Linked DNA regions of Canis lupus familiaris. The protein of the gene in region 1 interacts with the protein of each later gene in a pairwise test. Links are inferred from orthologs where the notes say so. Each region holds a gene or a part of one and is shown in the gene's direction. Other genes may lie near its edges.

Evidence for each region.
Region 2: the proteins of TACC3 (region 1) and CIB3 interact in binary tests that used the Homo sapiens proteins (3 or more experiments, as listed by UniProt). The two-hybrid records come from large-scale screens. The link is inferred for Canis lupus familiaris from reciprocal best matches to the Homo sapiens genes TACC3 and CIB3.
Region 3: the proteins of TACC3 (region 1) and KIZ interact in binary tests that used the Homo sapiens proteins (3 or more experiments, as listed by UniProt). The two-hybrid records come from large-scale screens. The link is inferred for Canis lupus familiaris from reciprocal best matches to the Homo sapiens genes TACC3 and KIZ.

Annotation. Positions count from the first base shown.
Region 1 is NC_049224.1:62,904,390-62,911,831, reverse strand, and holds part of TACC3 (transforming acidic coiled-coil-containing protein 3), read left to right. Parts: intron 1-1,121; 5' UTR 1,122-1,122; coding exon 1,123-1,284; intron 1,285-1,434; coding exon 1,435-1,577; intron 1,578-3,104; coding exon 3,105-4,037; intron 4,038-4,782; coding exon 4,783-4,858; intron 4,859-5,054; coding exon 5,055-5,172; intron 5,173-7,176; coding exon 7,177-7,229; intron 7,230-7,442. UniProt on the Homo sapiens protein: Plays a role in the microtubule-dependent coupling of the nucleus and the centrosome. Involved in the processes that regulate centrosome-mediated interkinetic nuclear migration (INM) of neural progenitors.
Region 2 is NC_049241.1:46,720,735-46,728,976, forward strand, and holds the start of CIB3 (calcium and integrin-binding family member 3), read left to right. Parts: upstream 1-2,888; coding exon 2,889-2,939; intron 2,940-3,155; coding exon 3,156-3,190; intron 3,191-4,876; coding exon 4,877-4,988; intron 4,989-5,953; coding exon 5,954-6,101; intron 6,102-6,960; coding exon 6,961-7,156; intron 7,157-8,242. UniProt on the Homo sapiens protein: Acts a an auxiliary subunit of the sensory mechanoelectrical transduction (MET) channel in hair cells. Plays a role in regulating hair cell MET channel localization and function.
Region 3 is NC_049245.1:2,557,264-2,564,557, reverse strand, and holds the end of KIZ (centrosomal protein kizuna), read left to right. Parts: intron 1-2,805; coding exon 2,806-2,849; intron 2,850-5,195; coding exon 5,196-5,299; 3' UTR 5,300-5,338; downstream 5,339-7,294. UniProt on the Homo sapiens protein: Centrosomal protein required for establishing a robust mitotic centrosome architecture that can endure the forces that converge on the centrosomes during spindle formation. Required for stabilizing the expanded pericentriolar material around the centriole.

The DNA of each region.
Region 1 (7,442 bases):
CACCTCCTGTGCTCCGGGGCTGCCTGGCCTGGCCGCCTCTGCTCCGGAGCCGTCTCCCCGCTGTGGGTGGAGGTCGAACCCAGGCACCGCGGGGGCTGTTTACCCCCTTCCTCACGTATCCCACAGCCATCCAGCTCCTTTCTGCTTTACCCAGGTCACACCAAAAAAGAATTCCCCTTGAGTTGTGTTTCACTCCAGCTTCCACATCCTTAGAGGCCTGCTGGCCAGCCAGGGCCGACAACTGCACCCCTGGCTGGCTGCAGAAGCCTAGGACCCCCTACTTCCCTCCTCCCTTTCCCTGGCCTCCACATTCCTGCCAGGGCATCTTGTTACCCTGACTCACCTCTTTCCAGGCCAGCCTCCTTCCTCTGCCCCAGCTGCCCTGGCCTGGCTCCTCAAGCTGCAGTCTCCAGCATCCCCAACACCAGAAACACCTGTGATACTCCCACAGATGGGTCCTCTGGTGACTCCTGGCTTGGGAGTGTCACACTGATGACGTGACCATCATGAGGACCTTGGGGAAGGAGGAGTGGGGGCTGTTCTAGAACATTCTGGGCCTCTGTGTAGGTCACTGGTGCATGTTTCTAGACTCCAGGTCTCAGTGTAGTCCCCATCAAGTCATGCTGCATTTTGCTGGTTGGTGCCTTGTCCAGCTCTTTCTCTGGGGCTGGGCCCTCATGAGCCCCCAGGGTGCTCTCTGTTTCCCAGCCTGTGATGGGAGAGCAAGCCACAGCACTCTTCTGTTTCTTGCGCTCAGCTGACTTAGCAGCCTGCTGGAGCTGTGCTGTGGCCTGTTCCTTAAGCAAAGGCCTGAGGGGAGACCCAGGCTTTCCAACAGCCCAGCACCCCTGTCTCCTGACCTTCACCACTAAACCCCAGTGGTTTTCAGGACCTGATTCTTCTTCCTCCCTTTACGGCCTGAGGGCCCTTAAACCTCTTTTCTTGAGAAGTGACAGCTGCCCTAAAATAGGACAAGGACTGTCTGGCCCAGGACATGCTGCCTGAGATGGGACCCACCTGTGCAGGAAGGGGACATCTCCCATGTGAGGCCAGCTTCTTGCACTGGCCATTCATCCAAACTGCACAGCCCTCCCACTGACGCAAAGTGTCTGCTTTTCCAGAATGAGTCTGCAGATCTGCAACGATGAAAACGTCACTGGTGACAAAAGTACAGAAAACCATGAGTTCCTGTTTTCACCACCGGAACTTACTGGAAGACTATCTGTTCTTCGTCTGTCACAAAAAGAAAATGTGCCACCCAAGAGCGTAGTCAAAGCTATGAAAGTAAGCATGTTTTGCCCCTGTTAACTACTGTGTGTCACGCCTTCGATCACCCTGGGACTTGCTTTCCTGGGGACTTAGGGAAGTGGGCAGGGCACTGCCGGCAGAGTTGCTCAAGACTTGAATTATTGAACAGGTCTCTTCTCCCAACAGGTGACTTTTCAGACTCCTCTTCGGGACCCACAGACACATCGGATATTAAGTCCTGGCATGAGCAGCAAGCTCGAGGCTCCTTTTGCTCTGGAGGATGCTTTTGGGTTAGAAAACTCTCCTCAAAACCGGATCCAGAAAGAGAAGTAAGTTGCTGATGCTGCTTGATGTATTGCAGTTTGTTTGGTTTGGTTGGTTGTTTTAAAGATCTTATTTAGGGACACCTGGGTGGCTCAGCGGTTGAGCATCTGCCTTTGGCTCAGAGCATGATCCCTGAGTCCCAGGATCGAAGTCCCACATCGGGCTTCCTGCATGGAGCCTGCTTCTCTCTCTGCCTGTGTTTCTGCCTCTCTCTGTGTGTCTCTCAAGCATAAATAAATAAAATCTTTGAAAAATAAAATAAAGATCTTATTTATTTATGAGACGTAGAGATGTAGGCAGAGGGATCATGACCTGAGCCCAAGGCAGATGCTCAACCACTGAGCCACCCAGGTTTCCCTGATGTGCTGCAATTTGTAACCCCTCCAGGGGATGTGGCAGGAAAATTGTTTTGTCCTCAGTCACATCTGGTTGAGTTCCTCCTAGTTTCTGCTCTGAGCTCGTGCAGTGTGTTGCCTGGCTCGCTTGCATTAGAGGTCATTTGTTAGTAGAAAAGCAAATGACGAAAAATACAGAACAAAGTTTAAGGGGTTTTTTGTTGGGTTTTTTTTTTTTTTAAGGTCTTTATATATTTTAAAAGAGAGCAGGAGTGGGGAGGGGAAGAGTGAGAAGGAGAGAGAACCTCAACCTCACACCCTGAGATCACCTCATACCCTAAGATCACGGCCTGAGCTGAATTCAAGAGTTAAACACTCAACTTTTGAGATGAACTCAAATCAGACTGAGCCACCAAGTGCCCCAAATAAGTTTATGTTCCACTCCTTTACTGTGCCTTTGCCAGCAGATTGGCCTGGGTTTTGTTTCTCTAATTTCATGAAATGTCTGATCACAACTCCAAGGAAGGATGCTCTGTGGTTATGGTTCTTTATTCACACCCAATAGGGACTCCTTTCTACTTGCAAGCCAGCCTTGGGTGTTCTCAGTGTCAAACCCTGCTCTGTCAGAAGGCAGAGCTCTCGATCTTGCCTTTCTCTTTGGTGAAAATCTTGACCTTCTTGTGCCCTGTTCCTGACTGTGTAGCTAGTGGCCCTTACCTGAAAGGGGGAAATCAGCTAGCACAGAAAACCTTAACTGATTAATTATTTGTCACATCTGTACTATATCTCTTAGGAATCTGTGTGATTTAGGGGTGTTTGGGGTCTCAACTGGTGAATCTTCTGCCTTCAACTCAGGCCATGATCCCAGGGTGCTGGGATCGAGCCTTGCATTGGGCTCCTAGCTCAACAGAGTCAGCTTCTCCCTTACCTTCTGCACCTCCCCCTGCTTGTGATCACTTGTTCTCCTTGTCTTTCTCTACCTGATAAGTAAACTTTAAAACGAACAAACAAAACTTGTGTGATCTAGTTGGCCCACCAGCTTTGATTTATGAGCACATACTTGCTAAAGTTAATCCTAAAAAGAGTGTTGATTGAACATTCCTCTTTCCTGTTTGTAACTAACGTGTTCTCGTGGACTGAATTATAATTAAAAAGCTAATAGGTTCCTTAATATTAACTAAATTTGTTTCTAAAAAGTCAACAGCTTACAAAGGAGGTTGACCTCAAAATGACCAATGGAATTCTCCAGAAACCAATGATGACCAATGCCAACCCCCCTCCTGGGGATGTGAGAGCAGTCTCTGAAGATAGGCGGCATTCCAGTGGGCCCACCTCCACTCACCTGGCCAGCCTGGATCCCTCAAGCTCTCCCCAGATGCCAGAAAGTCTTGAAAATCAAGTGGCTTCTCTAGGACAAACGTCTGTGAGCCCTGAGCAAGCCTTGGAGGAAAGTGTTCGTTCTTATTTCTTAGAGAAAAGTATTATATCCACCTCTGAAATCCTAGAAGACTCTTCCCAGATGGCTCCCCAAGACAGAACAGAAGACCCTCACAGAGCTGCCAGAGAAAATTCAAACCAGGTCCCTGCATCCTCATCCGGGGCTACTTGGCCACCTGGCACTCAGCCTACAGAAGCATGTGCAGAAGGACCCTTCGCAGACCTGCCTGGCAAGGCCCCAGCCAGCCCTGAGGACCCCTTTGGTCCTAGGAACACCATCCTGGCCAGCCCTCTGAAGGCTAGAGGGGCCCCATCCCCAAGTCCTCAGAAGGAAGAAGCTGATGACCAAAGGGTCAGCTCGTGGAGCAACAGACCTATAAGGCTAGAATTTGATTTCTCTGACAATGCCACCAGCAAAAGGGAACTGGGGGAGAGACCCAGCCTTAAACCTCCTTCCGGGGTATCAGAGGCCAGACAGGAAAATGCACCCAAGGAGGCGGATGAGGAGCCCATTCCTCTTCTCCGGGGGTCTTACAACCTGGACTGGAACAAGCTGGATGACCCAGACTTTAACCCGTTTGAAGGTGGAAGAGAGGCCCAGCCCCCAGAAAGCCCCCAGAGCAGGCCAGCTGGACCTATGGCCAAGAAGTTGCATGCTGGTCCCGAGGCCACAGGGTACTCCCCTCTGAGCCAGTGAGTACTTGGTGGTGGGGGAGTAGCTAGCTGCTTGGTAGTGTGCACGCTAGAGGACCACAGACCAGAGATGCACATACATGCCCCCGAGAAGGGGTCTTGGGGCACACATAGGCTGCAGAGGCATGCTGGTCCTGGATCCCAAGACCGGGGAGGGTGCTCACAGCCACTGTAGATCGTGGAGGAGCATCCATGGCGGAGCCCCGTTCCGTTCCCTCCACAGGGGTGGGGCTATCCACATGCTTGCTAAGGGCATTGTCTATAAAAAAAAAACTGGAAATTTAGAAAGCTCTCTAGCGAATTCTGTCTGTAGTCCGAGAGCCAGTGGAGCGGCTCTCCATGCTTTCTGGGGTGCTCTGGCCCTCTCATGGTGCTCTCTGGGGATGGCTGCTTAGTGGCCACTGAGTGCTGGGTCCCAAGAGGAGCTTAGCCAGTGCCCAGCCACTTGTCCCACCAACAAGCTGCAGGTACATGTTGGGGCTAGCAGTCCGGCTAGGGAGGATTCTGGCCCTGGTAACTGGTGACCCTCCCCCAAGCATGTTTGCCAATGTCCTAATGAAACAGGACCAGTGAAGCTTTGGGGATGGCTCCCAGAGCAGACTCAGCCTGGGAGCTCCTGGCCGAGTCCCATGAGCACAGGATTCTTGGGCAGTTGAGGTAGGGAGGGGTGGCCCTGCCACTCAGGCGAGTCTTCATGAGGCAGCTCCAGGCTAGGGCACAGGCCCTGCTGACCCCATCTCTTCAGGCAGGTGCCTACAGCCTCGGCAGAGGACGCACATGAGGTGCAGACGGCGGCAGGGACCCCAGGCACGGTGGGTGAGGTAGGGCCACGAGCACAGCCCATGCCTCCGTTGTGTGGGTCCTTGGGCAGAGGGAGGCTGGTGGAGATGGGGTGGGACGCAGAGCAGCACCCAGAGCCTCCTACACACCCCTATCCCACCAAGACTGGGGGAGACACGGGTCCCACACGGGACCTCTGGTGCCCAAGCTGCCCAAATTGAGCCGGCCTTCCTGCAGGAGGGAGCAGCAGAGCGCGCAGGGGCATCCGCTCCAGCAGGCAGCCTGGGAGGTCCTCCACAGGACCCGGAGCCAGCCTCAGACCCCAAGGAGGAGTGCTTCCGAGACCCCACTGAGGGTATGTTGTCCCCAGGTCACTTGTCTGTCCCCACCACCGGGACACTGCTCCAAGCACTGGTGTTTAGAGGTGTTTTTCTGGAGACTCCGTGCTGTGACTTGAAGCAAGGCGCCCAGAGGTCACTGGTTTCTCAGGAGACGGATGCTCTCAGGATGTAGCCCTAATGTGAAGGTGTCCTGGGGCCAGAAATTGGGCTCAGGAAAGCGGGCTGGGGGTGGGGATGTGGCTCTGCACTGCATATTCATGGGTGGGGCCTTGCCAGTTCTGGGGGAAATGCTTTTGGAGGGGAGCCTAGATGGGGCACAAGCACCTCTGACCTCTCTGACGCAGCAGGCCCTGAGGTGGTTCCAGGGGGAATCTGGAATTGAACTGCCTCAAGAGCCGTAAGGCAACATGATGGGCTCCCTATTTAACCTGCACACCTAGAGAAGAGTGGAAATGGAATGCAGGGTTGGTCTGTGGAGGAATGATCCCAGGGCTCTCACCACTGTGGCACAGAAGCCACGGAGACCCCGGAGTCCTGTGAGTCCCATGTCTGGTTTGTCTTCCTGCGCATCAGGTTTTCTAGAGTCCTACACCTTGTACCACAACATCAGCATTTCCTTTCCTGGCGGGTAGCGCGGCACCGCGCAGATGGGCCATAGTTGGCACATCAGTCCACCCGTTGATGGGCGTCGGGGTTGTTTGTCCTTTTTGACGATTTGAAGGCTGCTGTGAGCTCTCACATACATGTGTTCATGTGTCTGTGAGGGTTCTGTTGTCTTGGGCATAAACCTAGAAAGTGATCTGGGTCATGCAGTAACTCTGGGTGAAACTGAGGAACCACCAGGGTGCTTTCTAAAGTGGCTGCAGCACATAAGGATCTCAGGGCACCAGTGTTTGAGGGTCCCAATTTCTCTAGGCCTTGTCGCCCCCGGGGCCACTGTGACCCGATTCCAGCCATCCAGGGTGGGAGTGCAGGGGGCCAGGTGCACCTCCGCGTGTTTTGACCTGCATCTTCCTGGTGACGAGCCTCTTTCCTGTGCCTTTCAGACCTTCTGCAGAGTGTTTGCTCTGGTCCTTCCCCTGCTGTTCCACTGTTGCGTTTTTATTGTTGAGTCGTCAGGGCCTTTGGATCTATCATAGGTGGGGACTTCTTACCAGACGTGTGACATGGAGGGAACCGTCTACCATCCTGTGGGCTTCCTCCCTCCCGATGGTGTCCTTTGAGGCACAGACGTTAACCTGAAGTCCCGTTTATCTCTTTTTTTGTTTTTTTTCTTTGTGTTTTTGGTGTGAAGTCAATACCGTAAGGATTTACCCTTACATTTTCTAAAAACATTACAATTGTAACATTTACATTTGATTTTGAGTTAATTTTCATAGATGATGTTAGCCACCCTTAGATTTTTTTTAAACATGTATATATGTGTGTGTGTGTGTGTGTGTGTGTGTGTGTGTATATATATAAGTTACCAGGAATCGAGGGACTCTCTAGGGTAGTTCTAAACGGTAGCTCTTGGGCAGCCCGGGTGGCTCAGCGGTTTAGCACCGCCTTCAGCCCAGGGTGTGATCCTGGGGACCTGGGATCGAGTCCCGCATCAGGCTCCCTGCATGGAGCCTGCTTCTCCCTCTGCCTGTGTCTCTGCCTCTTTGTGTGTGTGTGTGTCTCTCATGAATTAATTAATTAATCAATCAATCAATCAGTTAAACAGTAGTTCTTAACCACGGCAGTTTGGTCCTGGGGACACTTGGTCATCATGCCTGGAGCGAAGCTGTTCAGCTCCTGCAGGACACAAGACAACCCCACAAAGTGCCCTGGCCCCAGGAGTCATTAGCGTGAGACCAGAAACCCCGCTACAAAGCACAGAATTGTTGGCTGCAGGTCCAGGCTAGGCAGGGAAAGGGATTGTCCTAGCCTCAGTGCTGCAGGGCGGGAAGCACTGGGCTACTGTTTGCTGTGCCTGAGCAGCAGGACCCGCCCACATGGGCCAGTAACGGCTGCCCTGACCCTATGCCTCTCAGTCCTAGGCACGGGAGCTGAGGTGGACTACCTGGAACAGTTCGGGAGTTCCTTGGTGAGTACCTGCACCTTCGTGGTGATCTCTTCCTGAGTATGCTTCTCAGGAGGGAGCTCTTTCTAGAACAGCCCTGAGCCACCATCACACCTCTTAAGATCACGATGGCCCTACTGCCCCACTGTGGTGTCCACACCTCCCTGGGAACCTCCCACCCAGGGCCCTTCCCAAGCCACACTCACAGCTTCCAATGCCCATCTCAAGCTCCCATGC
Region 2 (8,242 bases), on another chromosome or scaffold:
TCCCAGGACCCTGGGATCATGACCTGAGCCAAAGGCAGATACTCAATCACTGAGCCACTCAGGTGCCCTGACTTCATTCCTCTATATGACTGAATAATATTCCATTGTACGAATGGACCACAATCATTTGGGTAGTTTCTACTTTGGGGGCTATTATGAACAATGTTGCTATGAACATTCACATACAAGTTTTTAAGTGGACATATTTTCAGTTATGTTCAGCTTGGAGTAAAATTGCTGGTCATATGGTAACTCTATGCTTAATCTTTAAAAAAAAAAAAAGATTTTGGGCACCTGAGTGGCTCAGCGGTTTAGTGCTGCCTTCAGCCCAGGGCCTGATCCTGGAGACCCGGGATCAAGTCCCACATTGGGCTCCCTGCATGAAGCCTGCTTCTCCCTCTGCCTGTGTCTCTGCCTCTGTCTCTCTCTCTCTCTGTGTATTCTCATGAATAAATAAATAAAATCTTTTTTTAAGATTTTATTTATTTATTAATGAGAGACACACAGAGAGAAGCAGAGACTTAGGCAGGGGGAGAAGCAGGCTCCTCGCAGGAAGCCTGATGCAAGATTTGATCCCGGAACCCTAAGATTATGCCCTGAGCTGAAGGCAGACACTCAACAGCTGAGCCACCTAGGTGTCCCTATGTTTAACCTTTTAAAGAACTGCCAAACTGCTTTCCAAAGCAACTGCACCATCTTAACATTCCCACAAGTGGTGTATGAGGGTTCCGGTATCTCCACATCCCGGCCAACACTTGCTATTGTCTGTCTTTTTGTTGTTGTTGTTGTTGTTGTTGTTGTTGTTGTTGTTGTTGTTGTTATAGGCATCCTGGTGGGTGTGAAGTAATATCTCATTGTAGTTTTGATTTGCATTTCCCTAATGACTAATGATGTTATGCATCTTTTCATATACTTATTTGCCATTTGTATATTTTCTTTGGAGACATGTCTACTCAAATCCCTTACCTGTTCTGTTTTGTTTTAATAGACTTTATTTTTAGAGCAATTTTAGTTCACAACAAAATGGAGCAGAAGGTACAGAGATTTCCCATGTGCTTTCTGTTCCCCCCACACACAAACCCACAGCCTCCCCCATTACCAACATCCCCCACAAGACTAGTGCATTTGTTACACGCGATGAATTTACATTGACACATCATATCATCTAAAGTTTACATTAAGGTTCACTATTGGTATTGTGTCTTCCATGGTTTTGGACAAATGTATAATGCATGTATCCACCATTACAGTATCATACAGAGTAGATTCACTGCCAAAGGGACATCTGGGTGGCTCAGTTGGTTAAGCATCTGACTCTTGACCTCACCTTAGGCCTTGATCTCAGGATCATGAGTTCAACCCTCGCATTGGGCCCCATGCTGGGTGTGGAGCTTACTTTAAAAAAAAATCACTGCCATAAAAATCCTGTGTTCCATCTATTCACCCCCCCCAATCTTTGCCCATTTTTAAAAATTTGTGCAATTTGTCTTTTTATTGTAGTCTCATTAGAGTTCATTATATATTCTAGAGATCAGTCCCTTATCAGATATATGATTTGCAAGTATTTTCTTCATGCTGTGGGCATGTACATGTTTTTGTGTGCCCATAGATCTTTTCATTTTCCTTGGGTAACTACTCGGGAGTGGGATGGCTGAGTCATGTGGTAAGTATATGTTTAACTATAGGAAAGTTCTGATCCATTTTCCAGAGTGGCTAAACTATTTTGCATCACCATCAGCAATTAATGAAAGTTCCAGTTGCCCCACATCCTCTCCAACACTTGATATTGTCAGTTTTTTTTAAAAAAAAATCATCCTAAGGGGGTGTTTGAAGCCTGATCATAGTTACATTCTACGAGATGACTTCACAGACTGGGGCTGAGGAGGGTTGATGAGAATGGGAGGAACTGTGATCGTCCAGACCAGAACGAGTGGGGATGAGGGAAAGGGAAGATCCAAGAGCAGTTTAGGGGGCCTGGAGTGTGGCACTGGAAAAGGCTGAGCAGGAGAACAAAGTGGAGAGACAGGAGAGATCCAGAACAAGACAAGCATAGAGCACTGGGTTAAAGGATTTTTGACCTTTAGGTGTTCTGCCCAAAAGGATTCTGGGTCTTAATAAAGTTGGCAGCTACTACATTGTACCTACCCATTGAGGATGCATGGTGAACATCAGCATGCTAAAGGCTCTGACAAGTCCTGCAATAAAGAATTCTGTTTGGTATCATTTAACTGATTGTTTCTCAAACTTATACCTTGGATCACTTTTCTTAAGTCATATCATCATCATCATCATCATCATCATCATCATCATCTCCAATGCACACCTGGGGACCTCATTTATCTCTTTCACCCAGTTATTATGCTCCCAGTGCCTAAAACTGGCTCATACCCAATATCAAAAAATTGGGGGTTTTTTGGTTGCATTAATGATCTTGTTTGGTCTTAGGGCAACTTGATGAGTTGGGTACTAATATAACTTCCATCTTACAAACGAGGCTTAGAGAGACCAGGTGACTTGTCTAAGGCACAAGGCTACTGGGTGGAGAACTGGTATTTGAGTTGGGATATGTTGCAGTCTCTTCATCACCCTGCCTGGCTCTGGAAGGTGCCCCATGCCTTCAGCCTCACCCAGTCGTGGCAGACATGGTCTGCTGTTCTGTGACCTCCGACAGTCCTTCTTGTCCTGGTGGCCATGGACATACTCAGGCTATTGCCCAGAGAGCTCAGCTGTAACTTGATCTCACCCAGGCTGGGGGTGACAGGGCAGGTGGGCAGGTGACGGCCAGGGCAGGGATATTTGCCCAGACGCTGATGTGCAGCAGCCTGGCAACCCGTGTGGCTCTGAGAAGACTGGGGGCTTGTTCCTGAGTCCCGGCAGTGGTCTTTCCCATGGGCAACAAGCAGACAGTCTTCACTCATGAGCAGCTGGAAGCATATCAGGTAGGGGTGATGGGCTAGGCCCTCAGTAGGCTTAGCAGCCTTGGTTTCCCCGGCCTGCGAAGTGGGGACAGCATCATTTGTCCTGGCTGTGCAGTCAGCAAGGGTTTCTGGTGCAGCTCTGCATGCAGCATCAGGCAGAGATGGGCATGCAGGGAGAGGGAGAGGAAGGAAGCCCCTGAGGCAGGCTCTGGGCCAAGTCAACATCTCTCTCCGCAGGACTGCACCTTCTTCACGAGAAAGGAAATCATGAGGTCGGTCTGGGGAGAAAGAGAGGAAGACCTAGGACCATTTTCTATCCGTTGCTGGAGGATGTTTGCAATTGGACAGGACTGAGTGCCTCATGGTGGTTAAAATGCAAAGGGGGGGATTGCAGGCATGGTCAGGGGATGGAGGCAGAGATGGGGACGATGAGAAGCCACATCCTGTCATATTGTCACAGTCTCTAGGTTGATTAGCTTGGGCTTTCTCCCATGGGTTGTGCGGAGCCATGGAGAATATGTGACCGGGGTTGGAGAGTTGGGGGGAGACGTATCAGCATGTTAGAAAGATCCCCTGAGCCCAGTGTAAAGAGGCTGGGACTGGAGGCTGGGAACCTGGGGGTAGAGTCTAGAGTCATCTCTGGGCTGTGGGGGTGGCACCAAGGTAAGGGTGTGGGTAGGCAGCCTGATGCTGCTGCAGGTCGCTTGTGTGAGCGAGAGAGGCATACATGAGTATCCCACATTACTGCTCAGCCTGGGGCCATTGTCCAAAGGCCCCGACCGATGAACTTGGAGCTGTGAAACCCAAGCTGGCTGGGGTTCAGATACAGAGTGATAGGGGCCAAGGCCCCAATTGTGTGGGCATGGGATATCCATTATTGATGGGCACACCTTTCACCAGTGAGCCCCATTGTCTGGGTGAGGACAGCTCGTAGGGTCATCCTGGCCATTATGATCAGATTACTGATGGGGAAACTGAGGTTTGGACAGGGGAGCTGGCCCCAGCTCTGCAAATGGGCAGAGCTCCAAGGAACTTGAGGGCTGGTGTTTTGTCCATCATGAGCTTCTTATTTGGCAGCATAATAACGAAGCTCAGAGGGGAAGAAGGACATGCTCAAGGCCATACAGAAGCCCAAACCCAGGCTGTTCCATGAGGCAGCCTGGGCAGAGAACTGGGTGGTCAGGGTTTAAATTCCAGATACCCCATTCTTGAGTTCCTAGCCATCATATGACCCAAGGAGCCCTTGGGTCCAAAGAGCTCCCAAAGAGCTCCTCATCTCTCTCAGAAACAACCCCTAGCAGCTTGGGGACCTCTGACTCACCAAGCATGGTCTCTACCAGGCTGCCTAGCCTCATGCCTCTGGTGAAAATAGAGCATCAGCAGGGAGGACATTGGAGTGGAGAGCTGGCCTCACAATCTAGGTAGTGGGGGTGGCACTTGGTGTTTTGCAAAATGCCTTGCATGCATTAAAAAAAATCCTGAATATTGGCCTTTGTCTCTGCTCTCCCCATTTAGAGAACCCTCACATTCTGGGATGAGAGGAAAATGTGAGAATAGGGAGTCTTTAGAGGCAGAGTCTTGCCAACATTGTGATAATATCCAGGATTCATAGATTCACTCAGATTCTCTGAATGTTTGGCGTGCAATGATCTTGCCTTAAGCACTCTCCTTTTTGCTGTCCCCACCTGCCTGGTCAGCTCCTATTCATTCTTCAAAGCCCAGTACCAGTGTCCTCACTCAAGTCTCCCCTAGCTCTGGGGTCCTTTATCCACTTTGGCCCTGTCCCCAGGGGGTACATGTGTCTGTGTTCGGCTCTGTGTGCCTGAGGGCTGGGCCTAGAGCTGATGACTCTTGGGCACCCATGATGTGTAGCGAGTAGCTGCAAGAATGAGAGAAAAGGGAAAAGCCCTTCCCACCCCATCTCCCAGCCTTTCCTGGTGTTTCCCTCCCCACACCAGGCTCTTCTATCGCTACCAGGACCTGGCTCCCCAGCTTGTCCCCCTCGACTATACCAGCTGTCCTGATGTGAAGGTGCCCTACGAGCTCATCAGCAGCATGCCCGAGCTGAAGGTGTGCGTGGGCCATGGGGTAGGGAGGGGGAAAATAGAGATGCTCCCTGCTGCATTCCTATGAAGCGGATACATTTTACAGATGAAAGAAGTGAGTGAGGTTCAGAGAGGTTAAGACATTTGGTCATGGTCACACAGCTAGGATGTGACAGAGACAGGATTCAAACCTGGGGTTGTCCGAACGATGAGATGAGATAGTGCAGGTAAAGGACTTGGCACAGGGCCTATTGCATGGCAAGTGCTCAGGGAATGGGAGTTCTGCTTCTCATGGCAAGAGCCACTAAAAAAGCAGGTTCTTTTCTGCTGGATGTTTGTCATGTAGTTTGTGTTGCCAAAAGGTGACTTGTGGGGTGAGTGACTGAGTAGAGATGATTTTATCACAAGGGACAGAAACCTCATTCGAGAGGGATGAAATATAATGGAACACAGGAGAAAAAACTCTAGGGGCAGAGCTAGCGCCAGGTACAGCTGGAACCAGGGTCTCTGAGGTCATGCTCGGGAGTCTCCCTCCACCTCCCAGTTCCTCCCAGGAGGGGGCTTCAGTCTCAGGCAGCCTGTCTGCTTGAGGTAGTGAAGGGAAGCCCCAACAGCCCCAGATTCCTCTGGTCAACTCTGTGACCAGCAGAAAGCAGATCCCTCCACCTCCATCTTTCGGGAACCATCCCAGGGCAGCCTCTGGCCAGTTTGAGCCCCCCGCCCCCAGCCTCCCCCAGAGTCAATCACGGTTGTCAATGGAGAGTGACCTCTGATCGACCTCAACCAGTCAGGTGGCTGCATCCGGAACCAGAAGTGGGTCAAGGCCACCAAGATCACAGGGGCAGAGGCAGGAGTTGCCTGAAGTCCTCTCCTGGGACCGCGGGAGGGAGGAAGTTTTCAGATGGGGGGTACTTGAAGGTTTCAGGAAGGTGGGTGCTGAGAGTGATCCCATATGGTGCCCTGAGTCCCCTCCCTGCTTCTTGTCCCCAGGACAACCCGTTCCGCCAGAGGATTGCCCAGGTGTTCTCTGAGGATGGGGACGGCCACATGACCTTGGACAACTTCCTGGACATGTTTTCCGTAATGAGTGAAATGGCTCCCCGCGACCTCAAAGCCTACTATGCTTTTAAAATTTATGGTGTGTGCAGAGCTCGGGGGTAGGGGAACATGGGGGTGGGGTGGGGGTGGGAACAAGACCAGGTGTGGGGCCAGGAGCTGCCCTGCAGTCACAGATGTCTCCCCAGGGGGCTTTGAGGCCCCGCATGGACTTGTCCTGCGCCCCATATTGCTACTTGCTGACCTCATCCCCTTACTCCTTTCCAGCCACATTGGCCTCTCTCTTCCTCCAGCTCCCCAAACTCCTCCTCCCTCTAGGACTTTGCATCTGCTGTTCCCTCTGCCTGGAACAGCTCTGCCTTGACTCCTGCTTACCTTGAAGTCTAGGTCAAAAGCAGCTTCCACCTTCAACCACTCTACACCCCACATCCTATTTCCTCTCCCAGCATGGAGCAGTGCTGCTTCATTCCTCTTCATACTGATTTCTCTCTGATGAAACCCAAGGGCAGCAAGAGTATCTATTTTTGTCCCCATCTGTCTTCCGTGCCTGGGAAAAAGTAGGCATTCAATATTGTGTGACTAACTGACAGAAAATTTATCACAGCACCTAGCATTCAGTAGGTGCTCACTAAAAGCTTGTCAAATGAACAAAACTTTATCACGGTGCCTAGAACATCGTAGGCACTCACTAAATACTTGTAGATTAAAAACAGTCACATATGCCCGGCACATAGTAGGTCCTCAGTAAATACTTATGGGGGGAATGAATGACCTCCCAGCAGGACTCTGCCCAATTCTAAAGCAAGATCCAGCTATTACCCCAGGGTCTTGGGCTCCTTCCGGTGCCTCAGTTTCCTCCTCTGCAACAAGGGGACAAGAGGCCCGGCCTGTCTACCCCCAGCTGTGCCCCCACTCCACATCCCCTCTATCCCACTGCACAGACTTTAACAATGACGGCTACATCTGTGCATGGGACCTGGAGCAGACAGTGACCAAGCTGACACGAGGGGAGCTGAGCGCTGAGGAGGTGAGCCTGGTGTGCGAGAAGGTGCTAGATGAGGCCGATGGGGACCACGATGGGCGGCTCTCCCTGGAAGACTTCCAGAACATGATCCTGCGGGCACCCGACTTCCTCAGGTGTGACACTCCTCGCCACTTTGCACAATCCATTTCCATGTCTGAGAGGGGCTCCTGCAGAACTAGTGTGCGGACTCCACTTGTGAAAGCTCCTCCATTCATTCATTTGTGACTATAGGGAACTTTCCCAGCCTCCCTGGCCTCAGTCCCTGCATCTTTAAAGTGGGGATAATTGGGGGCCCCATGAGCACCCCCTGTGGGTGGACACAGCTCTTTAGGCAAATGGAACATGGCTGGTCTTCAGCCCTCTCTTGCCTGAACATTTTGCAGTGAACAGAGTGGGCAACTGTGTTTGGCAGTCCTGGGAGGAATCAGAGCCCTCACCGGAGGGCTGATAGCAAGTTAATGGGGGTGGCCAGCCACCTATTTTTGTACCTCGCGGGAGCTAAGAATGACTTTTACATTTTGTAAATGGTGGGGGAAAGGTTAGAGACTAATAGTACTCCACGACACATGAAATGGATATGAAATTCAAATTTCCATGTCCATCAACAGTTTCACTGGGACACAGCCATGCCTGCTTATGTATGTACTGGCCACGGCTGCTTTTGAGCTACAAGGCTCAACTGAGTCATTGCACAAAGCTGGAAATATCAACCATTTGGCTCTTTGCAGGAACAGCTGGCTGACCCCCGAGTTAGTACATGGGAAGACTTTAGGGCAGTGCGTGGCACACAGTAGGTGCTCAGTATCTGTGTGCCGGGGTTGCTGTCGTGGCTATAATTACGGGTGGTGTCCTTATGTGCACGGAGGTCCCCCCATCCTCTACCTGAAGGAGCCCGCTGGTCTCTTAGCTGACAGAGACAGGAATAATGACAATTGAATGAGCCCTATCGCTGATAGCAGCTCTGTGCGACAGCACCCTGTGCCTTTGCCCCTTTCGCCCTCATTACAGCCCCATGTAGGAGGGACGGCTATTATCCTTCGTTTACAGAGGAGTAGACTGAAGCCCAGGGCGGGGTAGCCACTCACTTAGAGTCCCACAGCAAGTCTGGGGCGGAGCCGGAAGGTCAACTCCCATCCAAAGAGGTGTGCTTTCCGCCCCTGTGGGAGTCAGGGGAGCCACCGCCTGGGGTTCTTAAGCGG
Region 3 (7,294 bases), on another chromosome or scaffold:
TTCCATTTCTTATGCCCTCCGAAGTGAAAGTGTTCTTTCTCTTACTGACCATAGTAGCTAAACAAGTTGGCTATATCCAGTATTACAGGGAAAGCTCTCCCACCATGGTCTCATCTTAGCTTTACACATTAGGTGCAGCTCAGAAAGAACTGTTGACCCAAAGAATTGTGTGTGTGATCAATTTGAGATTTGTGACACTCCAGATCAACTTTGGGGTGTCACATTGGCGTGCAGAGATGGTTTCCCACAGGGAAAAAAATATTGCCCCTAAGGTGTGGGGATAGAATAGGAAACACCTGGAAGCATTGTCCACCTTTCTCAGTGGGTGAACTACATGCATTTATTAGTTCTGCAACATATTTCTTGCCCATTTCCAGTAAGAAACTTCAACAACCTGATTCTGAAGTCCCATAAGTAAAAATATGCCAATCAAATAATGTGTCAGCAAATATTGGTTAGGGGTCTTTAAGCAGGGCCCTGCTCTTGGTGAGGTTCCTCTTTTCATTCATATGTAAGCCCCAAGCACCCACTAAGTGCAAAGCACTAGGTTACCCAGGTAAGCTGAAACAGGTACAGTCGCTACCTTCGTGGAGTTCACACTCTATAGGGGGAGTGATCATATATGCTTCAGTTACACAGATGAGTGTGAGACAGCAACCTGGATGAGGACTCAATGTGGCGGTGAGGGAGGGCAGGAATGAGGAGCTGAAGGGCCCACCCAAGTCTGGAGATCAACCTTGGAGGTGCTGTTCAGGATTCAGGGCTTTTGCCAAAAAACAATAGGAAGGCGTCATGGGGCTTTAGCGATGAAGTGGAGATAATCAGGCTTGTGTTTCAACAAGTTCACTCTTGTTGCTGAGTGGAAAATGGACTACAGGGGACATGATGTTTTTGGCATCATCAATCAGGGGCTGTTCCAAAGGTCCAGGCAAGAGATGATGGTGTAGTTGGATAGTTGGTGGCAGCCTAGAGGGAAGAGCAATGACTTCAGGAAGTACTAGAAAATAAATTGGTGGAACGTAGGCCTTGATTGGGTGCAGGAGGGTCCAGGAGTAGAAGGAGTTGGGGAGGGAACAGAGGGTCCAGGTGCCTTTGACAGAGACTTGAGGGGCCTGGCCTGGCAGGAGAAGGGAACCACGCTGGGGAGATTGTGAATTTGGTCATGAATGGACATGTTGACCACAGGACGCTTTGAAGGCAACCAAGTAGAGCGAGCCCTGGCCATGTTTCTGGAGCTCCGAGAAGTGGCTGCCCCAACCTCCACCCTGGGATCTGGCCTGTGCTCACTGGCTATTCTGCACTTGCTCTTGCCAAGGGCTCCACTACCACATCTCACCGCATCCCCCTTTCCTCTGTCCCAGGTTTGCTTCAGCTTTTAAAAGCAGAGCCCAGGAGGTACCCTGCCTTCTCAGGGGTCCTACAGCCACTTACCACCCACTCTGTTCTCACAGTTCTCCCAGCCCTTGGCTCTCTCCCCATCTCCCCCTGCAGCTCTCCTTGCTACAGCTGGAAAATTATCCTCTCTGTACCCCACCAGCATTGTTATAACCAACCTCTGCCCTCCGCCTCTGGACCAGTGTCCTCATGAAATGGGAAGTAGGTAAACAGTAGACACACAACACAATAGTTGCATTTAGAGTGTGTATGTGTGTGGGGGGGGGGGCGGTGTGTAGGCTAAGTACTTCATGTCAGATGGATCCATGTGCGCAGCACCTTTCTGCCACCTCCATGTCTGCTGGTGAGTGCCAGACCCTCTCAGATGGCCATGGGGGTGCCCCTTCTTCGTGGGGAAATAGCTCCGGCCCCTAGGTGGTCATGGCAGATCATGAAACAGGTACCAAGTTTAAAGGAAGCGTGGAAAGATATTGAGCCTAGAAAGTAATAACCTGACTGGAGCTTATTTTACAGAAGAAAAAACATAAATAATATTACCTATGGCAAAGAGCAGATTTTTAAGCCACAGGTTAGCCATAGGGAGGGAGAAGGTGAGTTAACAGTGTTTCCTATGTCAAGAGGACCTGAGTCCCGGTCAGGAGCAGACCGTGCACATTGGCAACTGTTTTCTTCATTCTACTCAACTAAAAGGCTGGGTGGAATCTGTTCTAATGAAATAATCTGTAAATGTAAATGCTAGCAGATACCCTGCCAGGACCACATTGCTAGTATTTGATGCCATAAACACTAGCATCTTGTGCATGTGACACCTAGAAACTTACACAGTGGTGCCCGGGATCCTTGTCTTTCTTTCCCGTGCCTTAGTGCATTTCTGTAAGCACAATGGGAGTTTATTCTGCACTCCCTTACTAAGCTGTTAAGGATTGCCATCACTGGCTTGATGGAGAGGAGTCTTCACTTCCTCACTAGCTTCTTGCATTCCATCCCGGATTCTCTACTTCAGGTACTTGACTTTTAGCTTGTTTGAGAGTGCCAAAGCTCTGGCATTTTGTGGTTTTTAGAGGGCTGTCAGAGGGAAGTCGGTGCTCTGCCTCACTGACCATGTCCTCGTTGTCTAGCTGCAAGCGGCAGGCACAGACTGACCTGGTCTCTGCAGAGCCAGTAGGGAATGCGCTCAGGGACACGAGTGATGCTGTCACAGTAGGGACCCACCCCCCAAAGCATCAGCGAGCACCTCTGGCCACTGTGGTCCTGACATTTTCTTCTTGTTCTTAAGACTTGGAGAGCACACATAAAATATCTGGCCTTTCCGTGCATCGTACGTGCTTCTTTGCTGATGCACTCATTGTAAAAATATCAGTCTGATTGTCATTTTTTTTTCAGGACTTAGGCTATTTCTTTATCTTTCAGGTATGAAAACGAAAAGAAATTAACTACCAATTTAGAGTCTAAAGGTAAGAGGATTCCTTTTGTGCTTTAATCAAGAGTTGTTTGTGACCTTCTATTTGTTTTCTGCATCATCGTGTAAGGAGCCTGAAGTGTGCCTGTGATCACAGGGGGCCGTTCCACCTCCCCATTTCTGAGGGGAGGGGAGGGCTGCTCGAGGCACCATTCTTCCGTGGCAGGGCAGGGACCTGACGACACATGAGGGGCCACGGGCCACGATGGCTTAGCATTCTAATTTGCAAGTATGAGCACAGGGTATCTTGGCCTCCACATCCACTTGGTTGTCAACACGGGTATATTCTACCTATGAAATGTTTTTTGCCTCTGTCCCCAACCTCACAGCGAGTGCCCACAAGTACCCACTGCTCATGACATGACAGGGCTCTTGCATTAGACTAACTGGCTTCCTTATATCCAGTCCCTCCCCAAGTCCTGATTGTCCTCTACCTGGCCACCAGCATCCAAAACCTCAATGAACCTTCTTACCTTCCTGGTTAAAAATTGCTGGTGTCCCCCACTATGTGCAGGATAGAGTCTGTAACTTTCTCCCTTGTAGTCTATCCCTTCCCTTGTTTCCAGCTCAGTGCCTTGCAAGGTCTTGTCTTCTTCTGGTCGTGACTTAAGTCATTTTTTTTCCAAATAAAGACATACCTCGGAGGCATTGCAGCTTGGTTCCAGACCACTGCAATAAAGCCATTATCGTAATAACACCAAATAAATTTTTTGGTCTCCCAGTGCCTATAAAAGTTGTGTTTACACTATACTGTAGTTTCTTAAGTATGCAACAGCATTATGTCTAAAAAAAATGTTAATTAACATAATTTAAAATAATTTTTAAAACACTTTATTACTAAAAGATGCTAACTGTCATCTGAGCTTTCTGCGAGTCATGATCACTAATCACAGGTCACTGTATGAAATGAAATAATAATGGAAAAGTTTGAAATAATGAGAGAATTACCAAAATGTGACGGGGACACAAGATGAACAAATGCTATTGGAAAAATGGCACCAGTAGGCTTGCCTGATGTGGGGTTGCCACAAACCTTCAATTTGTAAAAAACACAATCTCTGAAAGCACAGAGAAAATGAGGTGTGCCTGGATACCACACTTGTACCTCTGTGCCTTTCCTCATACTGCTCCTACCCTTTTCCTTCGCACTCTGAGCCCCTATTCGTCTCTGAACCCTCAGCTCACAGGGAGCACCTCCTCCACCTTGCATGCTAATGCTGTGGCATATCCCTTGGAGCTTGGGCTCCCCTACTCTGTCTGCTTAGACCCCCTTCCCAGTGGGCCCTGATCGAGAGTGTAGGTGTAAGTCAGACATACTGGATGGGACTCCTGGCTGGAGCACCCACCAATGCTGTGATCAGGGTGGTCACAGCCTCTCCGCCTGTTTGCTCAGTTGATGGAGGCAGTCATACTTGCCTTCCCAGGTTGGTACAAGGATGAAATGGGGTTCAATATAAGCCATCATCACAGAGTGGCAGGCAGTGAGTCCCATGGAGATAACAGTGGTCGTGGAGATGGTCACTGAGCAGACCATGCCCCCTCACATTCTGTCCTACTATCTTGGAGATCGCAGCACCGTTTGCAGGCAGCCGTGGCCTTCCACTGCAGGCAGCTAGCCTCAGCCTGAGGGCTTTCTCTGGCCCTGGAAGCATGCACCATCCCCACGGGGCTGCCCAGAGTGCCAGGGACTGGGTGCCCTGGTTGAGAATAACTCTCAACCAATGAGAAGTGGAAGTAGGTTGGGAAATAACCCCACTTCCTTGCTCTGTTGGGACAGTTTGAGGAGAGTTCTGAGTGTCTCAGAGGGTACCCTCAGGACTGAGCCTCCTGTCTACTGTCCACCCCGCTGTGGGCTCTTGCTTCCTGTGTCACTCTTCTAGCTGCTCCCATCATTCCCAGGGATCACCTCCCAAGTAAGCTATGTGCACCCAAGGCCTGGTCTCAGTATGCACCTCACTTCTTTCCTTTCACCACATCTTCCCTTCTCTCATCTGCTCTTATGAAGACCAGAGGAGATCAAAGTGCCAGAGCAGCAGAGCTGAGGTGGTCCCCGGTCTGATGAAATACTTAGCTAGCTGTGCTTCTATGGTTCCCTGGTCTTAAACCCCCGTCCTACAGTAAGGAGGTGGTCACAAGAAGGGAAGGAAATATTCTGCAGTGTTTTCCATAGAACACACTGAAATGTTCGCATTTGTGCAGTATTGACACACATTCCAGACACATGTGGTTGGGTTCATCCCTCCATGTCCCTGGTAGGCCTTTTGCAGGCCTTGTCTGGCTGTTGAAGACAAGCTGATCAGAGTGGAGAGATGTTAAATAGCTGTCTGGTTTTCTTTTCCAGCCTTCTGGGGTGAGTCTGATGACAGTAACTCAGAAATTGAAGCTGCTTTACGTCCTAGAAACCGTAACACATCCGCCAATGATTTTGATGATTTTTATGACTGAGTAACGACTGTTGGAAATAAAGTCGTTAAGGAAACTAAAGGCCTGTGTTCGTATGTAAAGTCCTAAATAAGCATGTCATTTTAAGCTTTCTAATTGTTTAATGGGAAAACTTGGGACCACATTGCCATTGGAGCGAAATTTCATGGCATAAACATAAATAGCATATTCATTTGAAGTGTCATCAAAAAACAAAGTGATAAATGCAATGCCCATCAAAATTCAAGTTGGTTTCTTTGTAGAAATTGACAGGCTGATCCTATAATTCATATGGAAATCCAAGGGAACTAGAATAGCTAAAACAGTCTTAAAAAAGAAAACCAGAGTCAGAGCACTCATATTTCCCAATTTTGAAACTTACTTTAAAAACTATAGTAATGGGGAGGCCAGGTGGCTCAGGGGTTTAGCACCACCCTCGGCCCAGGGCCTGATCCTGGAGACCCAGGATCGAGTCCCACATCAGGCTCCCTCCCTGCATGGAGCCTGCTTCTCCCTCTGCCTGTGTCTCTGCCTTTCTCTCTCTCTCTCTCTCTCCCTCTCTCTGTCTCTGTCTCTCATTAATAAATAAATGAAATTTTTTAAAAATGTAGTAATTGAGACAGTGTGGGACTGCAATAGACATACAGATTAATAAAATATCAATATATACAATTTAGAATTGATAATCCAGAAACAACTCCTTACATATATGGTCACTTAATTTTTCACAAAGGCACCAAACCATTTAGTGGGGGAAAGAATAGTCTTTCCACATAGGGTGCTAGGTCAACTAGATAGCCACCTGCAAAAGAATGAAGCTTGCACTGTATACAAAATTAACTCAAAATAGATCAAGTACCTAAATATAAGAGCTGAGCTAGATTATAAAACTCTTAAAAGAAAACATAAATGTAAATCTTTGTGACCTTGCATTAGGCGATGCTTTCTTTGTTATGACACCAAAAGCCCTGAAGAGAGAAAAACAGATATATTAGACTTCATCAAAATTAAAACTTTTTTTGCTGCAAAGGACACATCAGGAAAGTGAAAAGAGGGCAGCCCTGGTGGCTCAGCAGTTTAGTGCCACCTTTGGCCCAGGGCCTGATCCTGGAGACCCAGGATCAAGTCCCGCATTGGGCTCAGTGCGTGGAGCGTGCTTTTCCCTCTGCCTGTATCTCTGCCTCTCTCTCTCTCTCAGGAATAAATAAATATTTTTTAAAAAAAAAAAGGAAAGCAAAAAGAATGGGAGAAATATTTGCAAATCATTTATCTAAAAAGAGATTTGTATCCATAATATATAAAGAATTTTTATAACTCAATAATAAAAAGACAACTAATCCAACTTAAAAATGAGCAAAGGATCTGAATCAACATGGCTCCAAAGAAAATATACATTTGACCAACAAGTACATGAAAAAATGCTGGACATCATTAGTCATCAGGGAAATGCAAGTGAGAATCACAGCGAAATATCACTAGGTATCCTCATTCCCACTGCAATGGCTAGAATCAAAAAAGGTAATACTGGGATCCCTGGGTGGCGCAGCGGTTTGGCTCCTGCCTTTGGCCCAGGGCGCGATCCTGGAGACCCGGGATTGAATCCCACATCAGGCTCCCGGTGCATGGAGCCTGCTTCTCCCTCTGCCTGTGTCTCTGCCTCTCTCTCTCTCTCTCTCTCTCTCTCTGTGACTATCATAAATAAATTAATTAATTAAAAAAAAAGTAATACTGGTGTTGGTGAGAATATGGAGAAAACCTCTCATACACTGCTGGTGGGGATGTGAGACAGTGCAACAACTTTAGAAAACACTGGCAATTCCTCAAAAGGACAAAAAGGTGGGAAGCGGTTATCAGGGAAATCCCATCCCTTGTGAAGCCCAGTGGGGTGAGATCTCAGGACAGCAGGCACAGCATCTGGAACATTTCTTAGGGTACTTACAGAGATCCCATCTGGAAAATAATAGATGACCACAATTGAATGTTGCCAGTGAGAGGTTATGTATGCATCATGCCTCCACT